Ovis aries: one gene and its partners. The main gene of each other region encodes a partner of the protein of the gene in region 2 in a complex. Links are inferred from orthologs where the notes say so. Each region holds a gene or a part of one and is shown on either strand. Other genes may lie near its edges. The genes, in order: PEF1, KLHL12 and PLEKHA4.

Region 1 (7,020 bases), on a different chromosome or scaffold from region 2:
ATCTGGATGAGCCACTTTTCTGCCACTATGTTTTCAAGTTCATCCTCATTAAACTTCAGTAAATGCCCACTTCTTGGAGATGGGGACCTTCTGGTGGCCAGAGAACTTGAACTTGGCCCTGCGGAGGGCTTCAATCACAAGCTCCTTGTTCTACGGCTTGGTGTGGATGGACAGTATGACTTGGCCACTCTCCCCTGGCGCTTTCTAAAGGCACTGCACATAACCTGCTTGGAGTCTAGACTAGGGACAGCATGCCAGTCATGAATGTCCACTGGAAAAGGCTGCCTCCAAGGTCCCTTAGGGCAACAGGCTGTATATACCTCAGAGGAGGTTGCTGTTTGTGGCCACGGCACACGGGGCCCCCACAGTGGAAAGAGCACAGTCAGCTCAACTGGCTGCAAATCACCTAGATTGCTTCAACAGCTTTGAAACTGGTCTCCCTGCTTCAACCCATCCTGACAGTGACCCCCGGGAACAGCTTCAAAACACAAATGGGATAAAACTCTTTAGGAGATCTCTCACAAGTCCACCCTCCTCAAAACGGAACATAAGGCCCTTTAAGATCTAGTCCTTGCTTACCTTTCTGGTCTCATTTCTTACCATTTCCCCCTCCTCTTCACTACAACTAGACTGATCTCCTTAAATTCTTCGACAATACTGGGCTCTTGTTTCCTGGCCTTTGCGAACACTATTCTCTCCGCCGGAATACTTTCTTCATGCAGCCAACTCCTACCAGATATTCAGCTTTTGGCTTAAATGTCATCTCCTTTAAAAAGCCTTCCTTCCCTCAAGACTGAGTTAGGGATCTCTCCTGGGCAGGCCTGATTCTTACTCACATTTACTACTCATCACGCTGATTCTACAATTCATGTGTCTGTATCACTGTTCCACCTGGAGTATTTACTAGATGCCAAAACACCGTATCACTCACTTAACGTGGATTATCTCATTTAATTTTTACAGTAACTCTTGAGGTAGGTATGCCTATGATCCCATTTATAAAAAGGGGGATACCAAGCCTCAGACTCTGGTGGGAAATATCTGCAAGGAAATGGCAGTGGAGGGGTTTGAAGCCAAATTTCTCTGGTCTCAGAGACCAAGCTCTTATGTGCTGAAATCCATTAGGTTGGCTCCCTTGACACGACCAAAGGGTACTTGAGTTTTATCCAGTCCATGCTTGAGGACCCCCCAGGCAGGAGGCAGTGGAAAGTTACAGGAATTCTGATTCCTAACAGGAGGCTGGAATCCTCCAGGGCTACATACTGAGTGGAGGACAGGCAGTACTAATTTTTTGGATGCTTTCAAACAACCCACTTCCTTTCTTGCAACACAGTGGACCAGGAGTTGGATAGGAGGAACAAAGGTATGGTGAGGGAAGAGCATTTCTTTTTCTCCTTGAGGCACATTTCTCTCTGTGCTCCTTCTCACTGTCTCACTGAGCCTAAGGCCAGGCAGCACGGCATGACGACAGCGATCACAGAAGCAAGAGCGACGCCACCACCCGCCAGCACACACTAGCAATGCACCAGGTTGCCTACAGGCTTTACCACATTTCATCCTCTTTTCAGCCCTATGAAGTATTATTCCTCCCTCTTTACAAGTAAGGAAACTGAGACTCAGAGTCCTTAGATGATTTGTCCAAAGGGGTATAAATATTAAATAGCAGAATTAGGATTCTAGCCCAATTCGGTCTAACCTGGAAGTTCAGGCTCCTAATTTCTGTCACTGCTTCTAGGATGCATACCAATGATCTCCAAAAGCTTATTAAAATGCAGACGCTTGGGCCTTTTCTGGGTACAGAACAGGTCTGAGGTGGAAATCTAATCCGTGCTTTTTTAACAAGCTCCTAGGGGATTCTGAGGCAGACCACCCACCGAGAAACAATGCATCATGGCAATGTTTTCCCAAACTATATTCCTCAAGAATAATATTGGTGTCACCAAAAAAACGACCAGACTCAAAACAGGGGAGGAGGAGTTTTCCATGGTTAAGTAAGTTTAAGAAACACTGCATATTCCATCCCTCTCTAGCAAATATACAATGTTTATTAACAAATTAAGAATTCTGAGATGCTTTGTGATGAAAAACGTACTATATTTAACAAACTTATTTACCCATACTTCCTTATTAGCAATACTTATTAACACCTCACAAGCCTCAGCAAATGGAACCGAGCTTGGTTATACTTCCTCCTAACCTCAGCCCCAGCGGGCCTCTCTTTCCTACCTCTGCCAAGTATGCAACAAAAGTTCTAAGTTCTAGCATAGATGCTCCCTCACTTGCTATGTGCAACCATGGGCAAGCCACTTAACCTCTTTGGGCTCTTTCCAGAGTTATAAGTTGAATCAATTATTCCTGCAAGCCTTCTTATAGTGCCTTCACGACAGAGAATATGGATGTCCAAATACTGTGTACAGGGCTGCACTGCCGAAGAGGGCTCTTGCCACATCTTTTGGTATGTGATTACACACAGCGCTTAGTAATAGCCCATGTGACCCTGTTTGCCAATTTTTCCTGCGTGGGTTTTATCTCCTAAATTAGTGTGATCTTGGGCAACTCAGGAGCCCTCTCTGGGCTTCAGGTTCCTCCTTTTAAAATGAAGGAACCTGGCACTTCTCAGGTGGTCCACCAGTTAGGACTCCGCACTCCCAACGCAGCGGGCCCAGGTTCCATCCTTGGTTGGGGAACTTGATCCCACATGCTGGAACTAAGACCTGAGGCAGCCAAATAAACGACATTTTAAAGTAAATTAATAAAACGAAGGAACTCTTTTGAGGGCTCTTCCAGCACTGACCTTCTAGGAATCTAGGAAAAATCAAAATACTAAAAGGTAACATCCGTTACACTCTTATTTGTACCACAGGTTTTAAGAGCATCACTTCATTATTCTTCATAACAGCTCTATGAAATAGACCCTATTATATGGCCCTATTTTACCGAGAAGGAAACTTCAACTCAGAAAGGCAAAAGTACCCTGTTTAAGGGCTCTAAACTAAGTGATGGAGCCAAGATGTGAACCTTCCTCTGACACCAAACTGCACTTGATCACTCAACCATTCTGTCATCCAACAACGTATTCTGGCCACACAATCACCTTGCTGTGGCATTCTTGGCTGGATCAAGGTGCGCTGGGGAAGAGGCATTTGCTGACAGCTCCGGATTCTGCTGCCTAACGACTTCAAATAAATTCCATGTCTTCTTGGGTTTTACTTTTTCTATGAGTGAAACAAAGGTACTGGACTAAATCAGTGGCCAGACAAGCTCACTTGTGCAGTCTGCTAAAACCACAGATTCTCCTGATTATTCAGATGCAGTACGTCAGAGGTGTATTTTTATCGACTCCCCAAAAGATACCGACAGAACCAGTGCTCTAAACGTTCTGCTGGCGTTGCTGACCCCGCTTACGGGCCCCGGTGGAGTCCTGGGAGAGTTGTAGGGCCCAGGCCAAGCGCAGTCTGACTCTGGGGTCCAAGAGCCCCAAATCTTCCCATGCGCAACGTCAAAGGGGGCGCGACACGACCTCCCAGACGTGCATGCCTACGTGACGTGAGCCAGGCGCGACCGACCATCTCTTTTCCCTTCTCTCCTGCGCAACCTCGCGGAAGACAACCTCAGCGTGGGAAAAGGCGCGGAGGAGGCGGGGAGAAAGCGAACCAGGGGGGTCCGGGCAGGACTTAGCGAGGGCCCTACTCGAATTCGCCCGCCCCTCACACTCACCTGCCCGTAAGGATAGCTGGCCATGGCGACTCTGACGTCACACGTCCGCGAGGGGCGGAGCTTCCAGGCGTCAAACCTGCCTCCTTCTGGGCCTGGGGGCGGGCCCTATTCTAATTGGATGTATGAGACTGTCCATCCTGGACGCATGGGTTGACGGAACTGACGCTCTAGGGCGGGGGTTTGGTGCCTCCTAGAGAGGTGGGCTCCCGTCTATGGGGTCGCATAGAGTCGGACACGACTGAGGCGACTTAGCAGCAGCAGCAGCAGCAGAGAGAGGCCAGCGGAGCTAAGGGTCAGGAGACCGATCCCGGAAAACTTGATTGTTATCCTGGCGCAGCTCTTCCTCCCTTTCTTGCTCTAGAGTAGGTCCCGGGGCTGGTCGGCCTGGGTATTTAGAGAGAAACTTGGGTAGGGTGTTGCAGCGGTGGCCATGTTTTAACCTGGCAAAAAGGACGCATGAAAGTGGCGTAGTTGCTGTCCTCAGTCCAAGTTTCCACCAGGGGAAGGCCAAGGCGGTTACCCTGACAACGGGGCACAGAGGCATCCTGGGAAGGACAGAGGCTAGGGCTAGAAGTACTTCGTTCTAATGTCAGGACACCATATGTCAGTAACTTTGGAGTGGGATCTATGGTATTTGGACAGGAAAATTCCAAGCCGTCAGAATGGGAGGGAAATTGGATCGTCTGAGGTCTCTTCGGGCTTTACTTTCACCACCAAACACATCCACAGCTGAGCCTTGTTTCTACTTTGGCCCAGCCTTTTCATTCGTTCAGGCTCTCCTGATGGCTTAAAGGGTTAAGAATCTGCCTGCAATGCAGGAGACACGGGTTCGACCCCTGGGTAAGAAAATGTGTACCCATTCCAATATTCCCTTGGACAGAGGAGCCTGGTGGGCTACAGTCCTTAGGGTTGCAAAGACTCCAATAGGACTGAGCAACACTTTAATTTCTTCTGGAGTTATTTCTCCTCTCTTCCCCAGTAGGATACTGGACATCTATCTGCCTGGGGGCTTATCTTTCGGTATCCTATCTTTTTGCTTTTTCATACTGTTCATGGGGTTCTTGAGGCAGAAATACTGAAGTGATTGCCATTCCCTTCTCCAGTCGACCATGTTTTGTCAGAATGCTCCACTGTGACCCGTCTGCTTTGGATGGCCCTGCATGGTATGGCTCGTAGTTTCATTGAGTTACATAAGGCTGACTTGTTTCAAAAATGGAGAAATAGGTCCAATGACCTGCCCTAGTTCACTATGGCTTAGGGGCAGAGTGTAGCCTAGAACTGGGGTCAATGGATACCCCAGGTCTCATCAGGGAAGGGTTGAGGACTGATCCCCAATGTAAGTAAGATCCTGGTTATTAAGAGATGTCAACTACAAGTTGGCACTTGCCAAGAGCTTTTGCCAGCGACTGAAATGCACCAACAAGGGCCCTTGCTGTCTGCCTGTGCTGCAGCAGCTGCTGACCTTCAACACTCCCCAAAGGGAATTCAGAGTGGAGAGAGAGGCACTCTGTGCTCCAGGGAAACTGATGAAACAGGTCTTTAGACAGTTAGATATTTTCAGGAACTGATTTTATGATCCCAATCCTTGCATCTCCTCATATCTAGAAAGGCACTAAATCCCTCGATGGTGACATCAGTTCCTCTTGATTAGCAGAAAATCTTTTGTGAAGTAAGCTCATGAGTGCATTGAACTCCCCCTTTACCACAATCTTATGTATTGACCTCTCCCCACTGCCTCTTGGGAGCAGTCTTTCAGAGCTATCTGAGGTGCTCTCTCCTAGGCTGCAGTCCTCATTTTGCCCCCAAATAAAACTTGACTCGCGACTCTAAACATTTTTTTAGTTGACAAAGACCTCACAGTCATATATTTGCTTCTTTGTGGTTTAGACTCTCCACTTGTTTGCATGCTTATTTGATTAATTTGTTAGTTCTGTATGGCACAGCTTGTGTCTGATTTTGCTTGTCATTGTATCTCCAGAACCTGTATTTTTAAAAATAATTAATAGTGTTACGAGGTGGTGTCACTTTTGGCCATCTAGCCATTGTCACCTGCAACTTGGCATTTGCCATCTATCTCTACAAAGGATCAAACTATGAGCCACTGTTGCTGCTGACCTTCAACACCGCCTGAAAGGATTTAAATGTGGAGATTCGGAATGAGGCATTCTGTGCTCTGGGGAAAACTGGCAGAATAGGTCTTCAGTTAGGTATTTTCAGGAGACAGTGTTAAGAGCCCCATTCTTGCATTGCCTCGTACCTATAAAAGAACTAAAATCCTCCATGGTGACATCTGCCTCTCATCACTGGCAGACATGTTCTGCAAAAAATAGGGACTTGATTACATGTATTCCCCTTTCACCAAAATCACATATATACTGACCTGCCTCCTACCACTTCCGAGCAGTTTCTCAGAAATATCTGAAATGCTTTTTCCCAGACTATTGTCCTCATTTTGCCCCAAATAAAACAACTCACAGCGCTCATGTTTTGCCTTTTTTTTTCAGTCGACAGCCAGCACTTCCCAAAATCACAGTGCTGATCATGCTCCTAGCCCCCTGGAGAAAGTACAATGGCTTTCTTCATCTACATGTACAAAATAAGGTCCAACCTCTTCATTGCAGCGCTCTAGACCCTTCACAATCTGACCCAGCCTCACCTTTACATCTTATGTCTTACAGCCCCTGTTTGTCTGCTGTTGTATGTTCAGTTCCACCATTCAGCCCCCTTTCTTTGGAATGGGGAATCTTGATTCTACCACTTTCTAACTCTATGACCTCAGGCAGGTCATTTAATTTCTGAGTCTCAGTTTCCTCTGCTGTCAGAAACGAGTATATAAAGAGATCTGAAATAATGAGTTTATGGCACCTATTCATGCCCAGACTTGTGTTCAGACAAGACTTGTGTTCAGACCAGTCCTTTCACCCAACCAGCAGCCCTCCCAAGTCCAGTCCTTCAAAGCTCAGTTCCAGAGACTTCCCTGGTGGTCCAGTGGTTAAGAATCTACCTTCCGATGCAGGAGACGCAGGTTCTATCCCTGGTCGAGAAACTAAGGTCCCCCACACCCCGTGGGGTAACTAAGCCAGCGTGCAGCAACTACTGAGCCTGCATGCCACAACTAAGACCTGACACAGTTAATTAAATAGGTAAGTTTTTTTAAAAAACAACAACTCAGTTCCAATGCCATCCTTCACGTAACCCACATCCCCACCAGCTCCAGAGTTACCCGCTTGCCTGCCTCCCTTTGCCCTTGGTGCTGTCACTGTGCTGTATTCAGCCTTCCTGCTTCAGAGTTCTCTTTGATAA
Region 2 (6,608 bases):
GGCGCGGCCGCGGCGGCCCGCGCTCCGCGCAGGCGCGGCCTCGGCGCCGGACGCCACTGCGCAGGCGCGGGCCTTCCGGGCCGGGCGGCCGGGGTCGGCGGGGCTTTGTGACAGGTGTGTCCTGGGGCGTGACGGGGCGCTGCTCGGGCTCATCTGGGCGCTGGGCCAGTCCGGGTGTGCGCTTCATCTCGGGAGCGGCGGGGACGTCCCGATCTCAGAGCAAATCTCAGCCGCAGTAGCGTCCGCGCGACACCTGCTCTCTGGGGCGGAGACGGGGGCCTGGAAGCTGCAGACGCTGCTCTCTGCTCGGGTCGCACTGACCACTCACTGCGGGGCAAGACTCGGTGTTCAAGCGCTTCCCTATGGGGGTACGGTCGGAAGGGCTGCCCCCGGGGCTTGGGATCCAGGCATGGCCTGCAGCCACTGCTCTGGGTCGTTCCAGTTTCTCATTCTCCCCGGTTAGTCTTAAGACGTCTAGCTTATTGGCTGTAGTGTGGCAGGCGCGGTCTTCCCGAGGTGGCAAGGGAAGCGGAATAGGAAGGGGAGCCAAGTCTTGTGAGGAATGTCTCGTCTACCCAACCACCCGGTCGGCATGTTTTTCTTCTCCTCTTTGTCCTTCATTAAGTCAACCTTTGCTGAGCAATTAATAGAATATACTACAATATTCTACAATTGTAGGATGTGAGCATACGATGATCGGCACTCTGTACTGGAAAACACAGTCTAAACAGGCAGACAGACGCAAACTCAAGGACTTACGGTAAAGACAATCCGCAGAACAAAGTGCACTGGAAGCACCGATTAGGAGTGATTCCATCCGGGGAGCCAGAAAAAGCTTTACCGAGGCAACACTCTTCTCGGAACTATTTGGGAAATGGGAAGTAAGTCAGCGGTGAAGCCAGCCTGGGGCCATCCTCTCTTCATCCCCACTCTTCTGCCTCCCCTCTTCCTCCCTGAGAGAATGAGTCACAAGTGTCACCACTTGGTTTAATCAGCAGGCACAATCCATCTGCTAGGGAAAGGCTGGCAGGCCTCTTTCCTGAACCTCTTTGGCTCCCCCTTCCCTCTGCTCTGGAAATATCAGGATTTTTGCAGTTTTGCAAGCGTTCTGCAGCTATTTGTGTCACGTGGCACAAAACCGAGGGAAACGGTAAAAGGACTGGGGCGACTAAAGCCCTGACATTCAAGCGGGTACAAAACCAGCCCAAGATTGCCTCCGCTTTGTTCCCTGTGGTTTCCGAGTCAGGGCCGAGTGTGAGGGGAGGCCGTGAATATGCCATTCGGATAGCCTCATGCTAATGAGTCTCCGGAGACCTCTCAGCTGTCTAACAGAAACAGAGCAGTTAGTGGCAAACACACAAGAGAACGGGTTGAAGAGACAGGACCTACAGCAGCTGTCTATGCCTTGTCCCCCGAAACGTCTGGAAGATGGTGCTGGTTTGCCACAAACTCTTACAGGCATTTGAGACCACTGTTTTTTTTTTTTGTTTGTTTTTTAATATTTTCTTAAAAAAATACAAACAAAACGAACTTTAGGTCAATATTAACTCAGGGAAAGAGGAAAAAAAGGAATTCCAGAACAAAGGGCAAGTGCCTTCTTGTTTAGGCGACCGCGCGGTCCCCACACTCCCGATTCTCCGAGCAGGAGTGCCTCTGCGCAGCACAGGGGCGCCTTGGGAGTTCAGAAGGCCGGGAGGCGCCGAACTAACAAACGGGTTTCGGTTCTCATCGTTATTCCGTCCTGGGATGAGTGAGATCCAGTCTAAAGACAGGGAAGGGGTGTTCTAATAAGAAAGGACAACATGTACAAAACACAGCAGTAAAAACGACTCCTTGGCAGAAGTATGCTCTTACAAGAACCAGGGGAGTCACCAGGCGACTGCCACCCCCGCTCCTCCCCTCCCCCTATAAACAGTACCGACGGCAACAGTGGAGAAAGCAGTCCTTGATTCAACAGAGGAAAGCCTTCCTGGGATACAGGTGCGGCAGCCGGGGCGGGGGCGGGGGTGGGCAATGGTGAAGTCACAGGAACTTCGGTCTGGGACACGTTTCCTGCACTGCTGCTCTGTGTCTAGGGCCCAGCAAAGACCCTCAGGTAACACGCCCCCTCAGCCTTCCACGTGTTGCAGGCTCTCTCACACCCCACCGCATCCAGGTCCCGTCCTGCACTGGACACCCAGTTCCCCACTCCCGAGGCCCCCGAGGTTTTGACAGGGCTCTTCCCTCGTTTTCCTCCAAAACAGAACTCTGTTGCCCCTGTTACCTGTAGACTAGGAAAGAGATTTATTCTTGGAAAACCAAGAGAGTTGGTACCCTTCCAGCCCTGCCCACACCCTGGAGTTCATGTTCACCTTAATTGTCCACAGCACACGAGGCACAAGGTATATTCTCTGGAGCGCACACGAGGTTAAAGGCGAGGACCAAGTGCCCCCGCGGCCAGGAGAAGGGTCTGGCCGATCACACCCATGCAGGGTGCGGCCTCCGCCCTCGAGTGCCTGCGGCCTCCGCCCTCGGGGACACCCCCAACGCCAGGGCGTGTCAAATAAGCTCAGTGAGAGCCGCGGCACTGAGCCTGTCATCCCCTCCCCGCACTGAGAACAGACATTCTGGAAAGGACCCTTGGTTCTCTGCAAACTGTCTCTTCGCCCAGTCATTTCTCTCGGAGAACACACACGCCGGCGTCGCAGCGCTGAGTTCCCATGGAGGTCACGACCTCCCAGCTGTCAATGATGGGGTCGTAGCACTCAATGCTGCTCAGCAGGGAGTTCCCGTCGTAGCTGAGGGAGAAGGGCCAGCAGGGATAGAGAAAGGCGCACCTCCACCGGCCCCGCCCACCGGCCCCGCCCCCAGCCCTGCCCCGCCCCGGCCTCGCCCAGGGCCTGTCTCAATAGGCTCCGCCCCGCCCCCTCCCCACAAGGCCCCGCCCACAGCCTGTCTCAATAGGCTCCGCCCCACCTCTCCCCACAAGGCCCCCCCTCCCCACAGGGCCCCACATTAAGATTGCCATGGAGCCCTCTCTGCGGAACCAAACCCTGTCTCCACCACACACGTGGATCAGCTCACACGGCCCTGGATCCCAGATTTACCCCTCACCCTGCAATTGCATAAAGTCTCCCCCGAAGCACCGTGGCCCCGACGTAGCACCGCGGGGTGGTCATGCTCGTGACCGTTGTCCAGGAGTCGGTGCGAATGTTGTAGGCTTCCACAGAAGAAAGGTGGGCTGTACCATCGAATCCCCCCACCACATAAATATGGTCATTCAGCAGCGCTACCCCTGCACCTGGGGAGGAAAGGGCACAACAGATGACGGCTGCTGGGCTGAGGATCTGAACCCTAGAAACAAAACACTGACAGACGGCTGGGTGAGCCCCAGAGTGGCCGAGGGATGGGCCAGGGCCAGACAGCCTGGAGGATCTAGTCCAGCACAGGCCACGCACCTGCAGCCCTCTTCGCCTGGCCGTCATCTCACTTTCATTAACTCGGAGCCCAACCCTTGTCATGAGAGAAGGGAGTGGAAAAAAGAGGGAAAGAGAGAGGGGTCGTGATGGGTCTGGAGCATCTGCTACCGGGAGGCAGGGCTCTCTGTTCCTCCACACCAGCCTGAGGGCTCAGAAAGACCCCTCCCTGCCCGACTCCTGCACATGCTCCCTCAGGCAGCCCACGCCACTGCACAGAGCTGAGCTGGAGGCCAGGATGGAGGGAGGGACTCAGGTACAAAAAGACAAGGCAAGGAGGCTCTGCTCTCACCCTAACCCAGGGAGAGTCTGGGCTGTCTCCAATGCCGCTGTATTTAGGGAGCACAGACACTGAGGACAACGGCCCTGACCCATGTTTCCCAGGTTGCCAGTGATGACAGGCCTGCAGCCCCACTGCCCAGGCAGCTCTGACAGCTCCGCCTCCGGCCCCTGGGGCCTGCCCGGTCTTACCAGAGCGCTTGGTGGCCATCGGTGTGACATTAGTCCAGTGTCCTGTATGGGGGTCATACTTCTCAACTGAGTTTAAGATATTCAAGCCGTCATATCCTCCTGAAAGACAGAGCGGGAACCATTCCAGAAAGAATGGTCGGTGCGGATTCCCGCTCCTGGCCTGCCTTCCTCAAGTGCCCTGACTGAGGCTCTTCGTCCCAGCTCTCTTCAAGGGCTCCAGAGAGAAACCTGAGAGCAACCTGTCTTCTGCTCTCACGAAAAGGAGAATCCCAGTGAGTGGAAACTATACTGGGACAGACCAGGGTTTTAGGGGGAGGAAGTCTATGAACCAATTCCAGTGAAAGGGATCCTGCGCCGAGGCCGCTGCCCTTAGTCATCCCGCCCCCACCCCGTCCCAGACCCCACACACCTAGACAGTAGATCACCCCGCTGGCCACCACGAGGCCGGCACCTTCCCGGGCCGTCTGCATGTCGCCCAGCATGCTCCACTGGTCGATGTTCGGGTCATAGCGCTCCATACTGGTGTGGCGCCTGCTTCCATCGAAGCCCCCAGAGACATAGATCATATCTGCTCAGAATGAAGGAGCCACAGACCGTTAGAGAGTGAGAGGTTTGTAACGACTCCTTGTCTACAAATCTCCCACAACTCTTCCAAATGCCTGGAGCCAGAAACAACTGTTTGGTTTTTTTTAAGGGATAAATCAAGTCTTTCTTAAAGAGGACAGCACAGTCAAGACAAGTGAGAAGAACAGGGTAAGATGGAATCTTCAGAAACATTCCTAGATGCGAGTCTGCAAAACTACCACTAGCGCCAGCTGCCCCCTCAGCACACTGGAGCCTGAGTTACCAACTCCAGTGTCAGCACTGAGATGCCTTGGAGTGTTTCCGAAACCAGAAAGGTGTGACTGACCCCACCGGCTGCCTCCACATTTCATGGAGGTGTGAACCCCGATCCAGCCACACCGAGATGCACGCGCCGCCCTGTGCAGCAGCCTACCTCCCAGGGTGGTGGCTCCAGCCAGGCCCCGCCGGACGTTCATCGGAGCCACAGAATACCAGACCCCGTCCTCGTCTGCCGTGTAGTCCAGACACTCCACGGAGCTGAGGCGGGAGCGGCCGTCATAGCCACCAATCACGTAGATCCGGTCGTGAAGGGACACCGAGGCCACATAGCGTCTCTTCCGAGTAATGCTCTGGGATTCAGGGGAGAAGAGGCGCCTTTGCCACTTTAGCCAGACAAGTCTCAGGCCTCACCTTTGTGGTCCTTCCTGGGTTTCCCTCCGCACCTTGTTGCTTTGCCTGTGGCCGTGAAGCCCTCTGAGCAGAGGTTTATCTGCTGCCTGTCCACTGGACAAACGCCTCTTGCTCAGTGATGCTCTTACTGATGAGTGTCTTCTGTGCGTCTGTCTCTAAGGATTCCAGAGGATCTACCATCCTTCCCTTATCCAGTATCTGATTCCTTCCCATTCCATAAGCACTGCGCTAAAGACCAACATCCTTCCGTGAAGCAGGAAGAGACTAGTGCACTGCTCTCTAAGGGCCAGGACCCAATGACCTGAAAGGCCATGAGAAATGACCCAAAGATCCCCATGGTTCTCACAGTTACTGCACTGAAGCAGAAACCCCCAAGGAGACACAGACCCTGGGTCCCACGGACACCAGCTCAGTCCAGCACAGCTGAGCACCGTGCTCAGGCTAACAGGGCAGGAGCGGGCACCCTGTGAACCGATCGGGAGGCCGGAAGGCGTGGGAATGGTGGTGGCCAGCTGAGTGTAACTGCACACAGGGCCGTGAGTCCTCCTGAAGCCGAGTTAGTCAACAACCAACTACTGTAACTGACTACTGTCAGGAACTCTGCTGCTGTGACCAGGCCTTTCCACTCTGAGGGCTGGGTTAGTTACCACCCGGAGTCAGGGACTGCGGACATTTAAGCTCTTTCCCCGGGCCTGGTTCCACCACAACTTACTGGCAAAAAGCTCCACTCCTGCGTCTTGGGGTCGAACTTCTCCACGGCGTCGATGGGAGACTGCTGGCTCCCGAAGCCCCCGACCACCAGAAGCACCTCGTTGGCCCCTGAGGACAAGCGAGGAGGGGCCGCTTTCCCGTGGCTGCTGGCTGACTGCCTCGGGGGCGGAGCAGCGCAGACAGCACCCGGGCGCCTTGTCCCGCGTGGCCTGGAGGAGCCACCCGAGACAGGAGGTCCTCCACGAGGCTGCCCAGCAGCAAACTGCTCCTCCCTGAGAGCCTGAATCTCTGAAACGTGAATTTCTAGACAACATTAAAATTCTGGAGGGCACGCCTGAACACGCCCTGTGTGTGCTCGCTTGTGTTGGATTCTTTGTGACCCTGTGACTGTAGCCCGTGAGGCTCCTCTGTCCATGGGAGAAGCTTGAACACACCCTACACCGCATCAGCCCATCTTTACGATTCCAGCTGAGTTCACAACAGGCTCTAAGGGTAGGCTGGAGGAGCTCCCTGCCTTTCTCACCCTGTAAAACTCAAAACGGGAGTTTTTTGTGATGGCAAAGAATTTTCTCCTAACCTTGGCTCCCAAAATTTGAGATGTGGCTTAGGAACCAAATAATAAATTTAAAAATCTTTTCCATGACTTTTATTTTTCCAAATTAGCCAACTCCACGACCACGTGTCCTGTTAATTCATCAAAACTGCCAGGTAACCGAC
Region 3 (6,028 bases), on a different chromosome or scaffold from region 2:
ATTTGTCCCAATCCCCGTGACAGCTGTGACAGAGCCTTGAAAGAGCGGGAGGTAAAAGCAAATCCTCCCAGGAGACACAAGACCTGGTCAGTACAGTTAGGGAGAGCCTTGAAGAGATACTGAGCTGAACCGGGAAAGGCAGAGGGAACACCAGTGCAAAAGCCTTCGAGGCGGCCAGGGGAGGGGGTCGGTGGGGAGAGAGAACCAACTGGACATGGCGGGTAGTAGAGACAGAAAATACACTCACCCTCACATCTTCCTCCCGAGTCACGTCACAGCGCAGAAAGACAGTGCCAGGCAGCTCTCGCTCCACCGCCCTGCCCCTGGCCTCTGCGGGAAGAGAAGGGCTGGGGGTCTGGACTTCAGAGTCTGAGGGAGGAGGGGGCTGGGAGGCCGAATCCTGGGTCTGAGGGAGGAGGAAGCCAGGGGTTTGGACTCCTGGGTCTATCAGAGGAGGGGTCTGGGGGCCTGGAATCCCCCTGGAGGGTTGGGGATGAGGACTGAGGGACCCTCACTCACCATCTTTGTCACAGATAACCACCTGGGCACCGCTTTCCACTGAGAATAAGAAAGAAGAGGTTACCCCCAGCCGACCTTGGCGAAGGCCTCTGCTGCCCTCTAGGGGCCACTTACAGCGGGTTGGGCCCGTCTCCCACTCTGCTCCCCTCGTGACCCCAAAGTCTCATGATGACTCCCTAGGACAGAGGGCAGAAGTTTTGACAGATACTCTTCTGGGTTATTCTAGGTGCCTGTTGGGGCTCCTGAGTCTGCCTTCCTGGGTTCCAGAGTAAACCCGAAATCTGCAAGAGACATCGTCCCCCAAACTGCCTGTTTTGCAGAGACAGCTGAGACCACAGAAACGGTGTTTGGAAACCTGCCAAAATCTCAGGCCCTAGGCAACTACCGCCTACCTTTTCGTTCACTTTGCAAATAGGATCTTGTAAGATAAGAATCTAGACTCCAGTATAGGACCTACTTTTTCTCACACCCATTAGTTAGCCCTCGGAGGCCCGTCCTCTCCCAGATTCCCAACATTTAGACCCAGCCAGACCCCACTCACCGAAAGCTCGAACGATCGCGGCTCCTATGCCGCGACCGCCGCCGGTCACGATGACCACCTTCCCAGCATAGCGCGTTCCCATTGCCATTCTGCCGGACACCGCCTCTCCTCTTTCACTCACTCCGGGCTTCTGTCCACCTCCAAAATCGGGTGAGGTAGTGGGGTCAAATCGTAAACAGGGGCCGGATCCTGGAAGCCCGGCCCTGAGGGTGGGGGTGGGGGGCGTTGCCAGGAAAGCCAGAAGCCTGGAAGCCTGGTCCCTCCCTCAGATCCAAGAGTCTGGATGCCCAGACCTTCTTCCCTCAAGTTCAGGATTCCTGGCATCCGGCCGCCCTCTGCCCTCGGACCTAAATGTCCAGGTCCCTCGTCTTCCTTCAGACGCAAGAATCCAGGTCCCCATCCCCCTCTTCCCTCAGGCCCAGTACTCCGGACCCTGAGATTTCCTCCTCCCTCAGACCTACAAGTCCAAGGTCCCGGTCCCCTCCTCCTTTGCGACCCAGAAATCCACGACCCCAGCTCTACCCCCACTCAGAGACACCAGAGTCACAACCTCAAACAGACAAAAAGTTATTGACTAAAAAGTTCAAAGTTTTAATCTAAATTTGGACAAGTGTCGGGAAAAGCAAACTTTGGCCACAGAAACCACTTCTAGGTCACGGGAGAACAGAGGCTGCAGATCTTCAGGTGGTCCCGCCAGGCCACGCCCTCACGCTCTGATTGGCTGCCACGTCTGGGCGCGTCAGAAGCTGGACTGCAGCAGGGTGACCCTCAGAGGCCACGCCCCCTCGTCAGGGGTCAGGGCGGGAGGGGCCGGCCCGGAATCCCAGGTCTCTTCCCAGGAGGCGGGGCCTGCGCCGCGCCCACTACCTCTGGGGGAGAAACCCGTGGAGCAGGAATTGGCTGTTGGAGATCTTCGGGGTGAGGACGCCTGGGGCATGGGATCTGACGGAGGTGGCGGCGCAGGGGGGAGAGGGTCCCCTCGAGAGTCCAAATTTCCACCTGGAGAGGACGGATGGGAAATGAGAATGGCAAACTCAGGAATCCAGAAGTCCAGACACCGCCCTCCGCCCCCAGGCCTTTCCTCTCAAACCTAGGAGTCCGGCCTCCCTGCCCCCTGCTCTCCCAAACTCAGCACTTTTGCACCTTAGCCCCCTCCTGCCTGGAATCTAGCACTCCCAAGCCCTGTCCAGGTCTTCCCTCATCAAGACAAAGGATTCCCAGGGGCCCTCAGACCCCTCCCCATCACGACCTGAGATTCCAGACCTCCGACCCGCCCCCCCCCTCCTCATCCCTAAAACCTAGGAGTCCTAAGTCCCCAGCTCATTCTCACCTGTCATCATTCCGCGCCACTGCGATGCCTCAGCGGCCAGGGCTTGAGAGAGGCTGAGGACTCGCTCCCGGTGCCCTTCGGATGTCAGCAAATAAGGGGTGGTGTTTCTTGGACTAGAAAAAGAGAGTTTGGGCGAAACTTCGATTAGCCAGTACAGTAGAGGCCACAGTGCCGCGCGTGTCCTTCTGGGAGTTGTAGTCCCTAGCACGTGTCTCTAAAGGATTTTAAACGTGGAGCGACCCTCTTTTTTTAGAAGCCCGCGTGCATTGTGGGATTTGTAGTTCAGTTGCCCGAAAATTTCTCCGATTTCCTGACAGCGGGGCGGAGTTTGATATAGAACAAGGAACTGCAGTTCTCCCCGCGAACTAGAGTTTTCTGATTCCCCAAGAACTCAAGCGACTCTAAAAGATTCTGCGATCTGTACTTTAGTACTCAAAAGACATTAACAGTAACACTATTCCCCTTCTCTTTTTTATTTCCCTTCGTTGTTGCCTCGATCTCCAATTCCTTACCTGCTCCAGGACCCCGAACTTCGGAGCCATTTCTGGGTTCCTGAGTGTCCCAGGACAGGCTGCAAAGGAATGGGGGCATTAGAATTCCTCACCCTGGAAGTTCCCATGTTCTCATTTTGAGGGTGAAGAGGCTCAGAGGATAAAATTGCCCCAAAGACACTAATTCTTAACTTTACCTGAACTCCTGGGAAAGAGGGAAGAGTTTGGAAAATTACCACCCTCCCAACCACTTCCCCACGCCTTTTTGCATTCTGGTAAACAGCTTCTTCATATGACTTAGATAAGCCTGAATGATGTGAAATTGATATTTTAAGACAGGACAGGAAAATTAAAGATCAAAGTCTCTCTGCGCGCTTGTTTGGGGCTCCTCCATCCCTAATGTGCAGTGTACACCAGGATTACACATTAGCCAGAGCTCCTCAGAGTTGGCAGTGCTTGCTCTGTTCTGAAGATCATTTCTTTTTTCCCTTTCTTCTGACACTACCAGTGTAACTTCTTAAAAGAACAGCTTCTTTCACAGTTCTGCAGGGGGTCACAGTAACTTGCTGCTGGCTTCGCATGTGCTTCCCTAGACTATGTATCCTTGGTGAAGCTTAGGTAAAATATCACTATGTTATTTGCTTCTTTGTTTGTTTTAAATTGTCTGGCTGCATCAAGTCTTAGTTGTGGCACTTGGGATCTTAGTTGCATCACGTGGGATCTTTTGTCACAGTGCATGGGGCTTCCCTGACAGCTTAGTGGTAAGAATCTGCCTGCCAACGCAGGAGACTTACTTGCTCAACAGAGATGTGGGTTCCATCCCTGGGTCAGGAAGATTGCCTGGAAGGCTATAGTCCATGGGGTTGCAAAAGAGTCGTACATGACTCAGCAACTAAACAACAGCAGATTGTGTAGTTGTGGCGCACAGGCTTAGTTGCCCAGAGACATGTGGGATCTTAGTTCCCAGACCAGGTATCAAACCCTCGTCCCCTGCATTGCAAGGCAAATTCTTAACCACTGGTCTGCCAGGAAAGTCCTGTCAGTATGTCATTTTGATGTTCGATCTTTTGTCTGGAAAACAGACACGAGTGTGCCTCTTGACTTCTAACAGATGGTGAAACAGTTCTCAGAACTTTCTGAGAGTCTCTCTCCCAAGTTCTAATTCTGTTTGGCTCAAATAAAAGTCCCCTTTTTTCTTGTTAACTTGATTTTAATAGAATTTTCATCGACAAGATTCACAGATGAGCCCCCTGTGACGAGGCCAGAAACAGACCCTCCAAATTCACATTCCTTTTGTCATAAATGATTAATGAACTTGTTGCCCCCGAAAAACTAGCTAGACATAGAGATCAATGTTTGATATTCAGCAGACTTGAGATGCCCCCCATTTACAAAAACAATCACAACCCCAAAATCACCCCACTTGTCTAATTCCTTCCTAGAAGAGTCTTAAGATGAAACTATCCATGGGGAATTCCCTGGTGGTCCAGCAGGTAGGGCTCCGCACTCCCACGGCCAAGTCCTCAAACATGGACTGAACCCAAGCCCTAAAATCCCACAAGCTGCGCAGTGGCACAGCCCAAAACGAAAAAACAAGTGAAAAAACCATCCTGCCCAGACAGTCTGATCTTCAGATTGGCAGTGTGATCTCCATGGCAGTAAATACATTTTTTTTTTCTTTGCCTTTGATAGCATAGTAACTGAACAGGAAAACTTGGCTTCCAATCCAGCTCTAAAACCCACTCCTCCCAGAGGAGTGAGAATGCTGGTGAGGATGGAGATGTTGCCTCTGGCCCATCCTGTTCTCCACTGATAAGGGAGACAGGATGCTGAATTGAAAACAGGGACAAGTAAACCTGATATAGAGGAAGGGAAAAAAATCCCCATTTTACAGAGAGGAAAACTGAGGCTCCAACCAGGAACTGAGAACCCACTGCCGCCTCACTGACCCACCCCTGTTTCCCTCACTTTTTGTTCCGCATCAGGCTGGCGTCTGGTTGGGGACAGCGTCCTCCCCAGGGTGAGGAGCCGGGGGGAGGCTGGGCGAGGGAGAGGCCGTCCATATTCTTGATTTCTTCGGATTCTCTCCAACTGCTCCCGAGCACTCATCCGGGGCCGGGCCAGGGGGACCTGGGGAGATGAGAAACATCTAGAGATTCCAACCAGGCCTCTCTTTTCTCTCTTCCCTGAACCTCTCAGCCTCCTCTGTCATGGGCTTCCCTCAAAGCTCAGTTGCAATGCAGGAGACCCTGGTTCGATTCCTGGGTCGGGAAGATCCCCTGGAGAAGGGATAGGCAAGCCACGCCAGTATTCTTGGGCTTCCCTTGTGGCTCAGCTGGTAAAGAATCCACCTGCAATGCGGGGAGACCTGGGTTCGATCCCTGGGTTGGGAAGATCTCCTGGAGAAGGGAAAGGCTACCCACTCCAGTATTCTGGCCTGGAGAATTCCTGTGTCTTGCCCTTCCCAATAAGTTCAGCCCTGGATCTCAAGGACTTACTTCTACACCTGGAGCCCAGGCTGTCCCTCTGCTGGTTATGCTCAAGTCCTTCCATATCCCACAAGGCTCTAGGACAAAGGTGTTACAGTTCCTGTGTGACTGGTTGCTACCCATCTGTCTGGCCTCAAGCCCACCAGCTGCCCTATTGGAACCTGTAGTGCCAGCCTGATCAACACCCACTCTTCTCTGGACATAACAAGTCTCTTGGAAGTAGTAGTTGGGACGCTGGTTTGCTCATGATTTTAAAAAAACAATAATAAGTCTGGTTTCAATCAGCTTTGAAAACATTAATATGAAGGATGAGATTTATTGTGTAACTAAGATCATTAAGAAGATCACTTTGGGTTTGCCTGAAGGAGGACTCGACAAGTTCTCCAGTGCCCTCAAAACCAGAGGGAAGAGACACACAGGGAGAGTGTCCTGTGATAATTGTGGTTATCTGCCACAAGCCAGGGAACTTTGTCTGAAGCTTCCAGAAGTATGATACTGATGACACCTTGATCTTGGGCTTAGAGACTTAGGAACTCAAAACGCAAGAGGATGGGGATGAATGGAAGGAGAACTTGAAATCTGGAATGTTCTCAATCTATCTCCTTTGCAAGGAAGCTTGCTCTGAGGAGAATGCCAAGGGTGTGGCTGGAAAACCATT

Evidence for each region.
Region 1: the proteins of KLHL12 (region 2) and PEF1 are in contact, whole or in part, in a crystal structure (PDB 8RBH), measured with the Homo sapiens proteins. The link is inferred for Ovis aries from reciprocal best matches to the Homo sapiens genes KLHL12 and PEF1. Residues at the interface, in NP_067646.1 of Homo sapiens: Phe289, Gln293, Arg320, Tyr321, Leu371, Glu417, Tyr434, Ile439, Phe481, His486, Cys511, Tyr512, Tyr528, Leu533, Cys558; in NP_036524.1 of Homo sapiens: Gly15, Gln16, Ala17, Pro18, Gly19, Ala20, Pro21, Pro22.
Region 3: the proteins of KLHL12 (region 2) and PLEKHA4 are in contact, whole or in part, in a crystal structure (PDB 8OIO), measured with the Homo sapiens proteins. The link is inferred for Ovis aries from reciprocal best matches to the Homo sapiens genes KLHL12 and PLEKHA4. Residues at the interface, in NP_067646.1 of Homo sapiens: Phe289, Arg320, Glu417, Tyr434, Ile439, Phe481, His486, Cys511, Tyr512, Tyr528, Leu533, Cys558; in NP_065955.2 of Homo sapiens: Pro177, Gly178, Gly179, Pro180.

What each region holds. Positions count from the first base shown.
Region 1 is NC_056055.1:235,823,002-235,830,021, reverse strand, and holds the start of PEF1 (peflin), read right to left. Parts: upstream 3,754-7,020; 5' UTR 3,742-3,753; coding exon 3,718-3,741; intron 402-3,717; exon of another isoform or gene 280-401; intron 1-279. UniProt on the Homo sapiens protein: Calcium-binding protein that acts as an adapter that bridges unrelated proteins or stabilizes weak protein-protein complexes in response to calcium.
Region 2 is NC_056065.1:79,310,778-79,317,385, reverse strand, and holds the end of KLHL12 (kelch-like protein 12), read right to left. Parts: intron 6,000-6,608; coding exon 5,893-5,999; intron 5,120-5,892; coding exon 4,924-5,119; intron 4,495-4,923; coding exon 4,336-4,494; intron 4,026-4,335; coding exon 3,927-4,025; intron 3,281-3,926; coding exon 3,094-3,280; intron 2,778-3,093; coding exon 2,651-2,777; 3' UTR 2,260-2,650; downstream 1-2,259. UniProt on the Homo sapiens protein: Substrate-specific adapter of a BCR (BTB-CUL3-RBX1) E3 ubiquitin ligase complex that acts as a negative regulator of Wnt signaling pathway and ER-Golgi transport.
Region 3 is NC_056067.1:55,187,773-55,193,800, forward strand, and holds the end of PLEKHA4 (pleckstrin homology domain-containing family A member 4), read right to left. Parts: intron 5,012-6,028; coding exon 4,850-5,011; intron 2,962-4,849; coding exon 2,903-2,961; intron 2,504-2,902; coding exon 2,391-2,503; intron 2,060-2,390; coding exon 1,800-2,059; 3' UTR 1,628-1,799; downstream 1-1,627. Other genes in the region: HSD17B14 (17-beta-hydroxysteroid dehydrogenase 14), read right to left, coding at 248-330, 520-558, 1,061-1,148. UniProt on the Homo sapiens protein: Binds specifically to phosphatidylinositol 3-phosphate (PtdIns3P), but not to other phosphoinositides.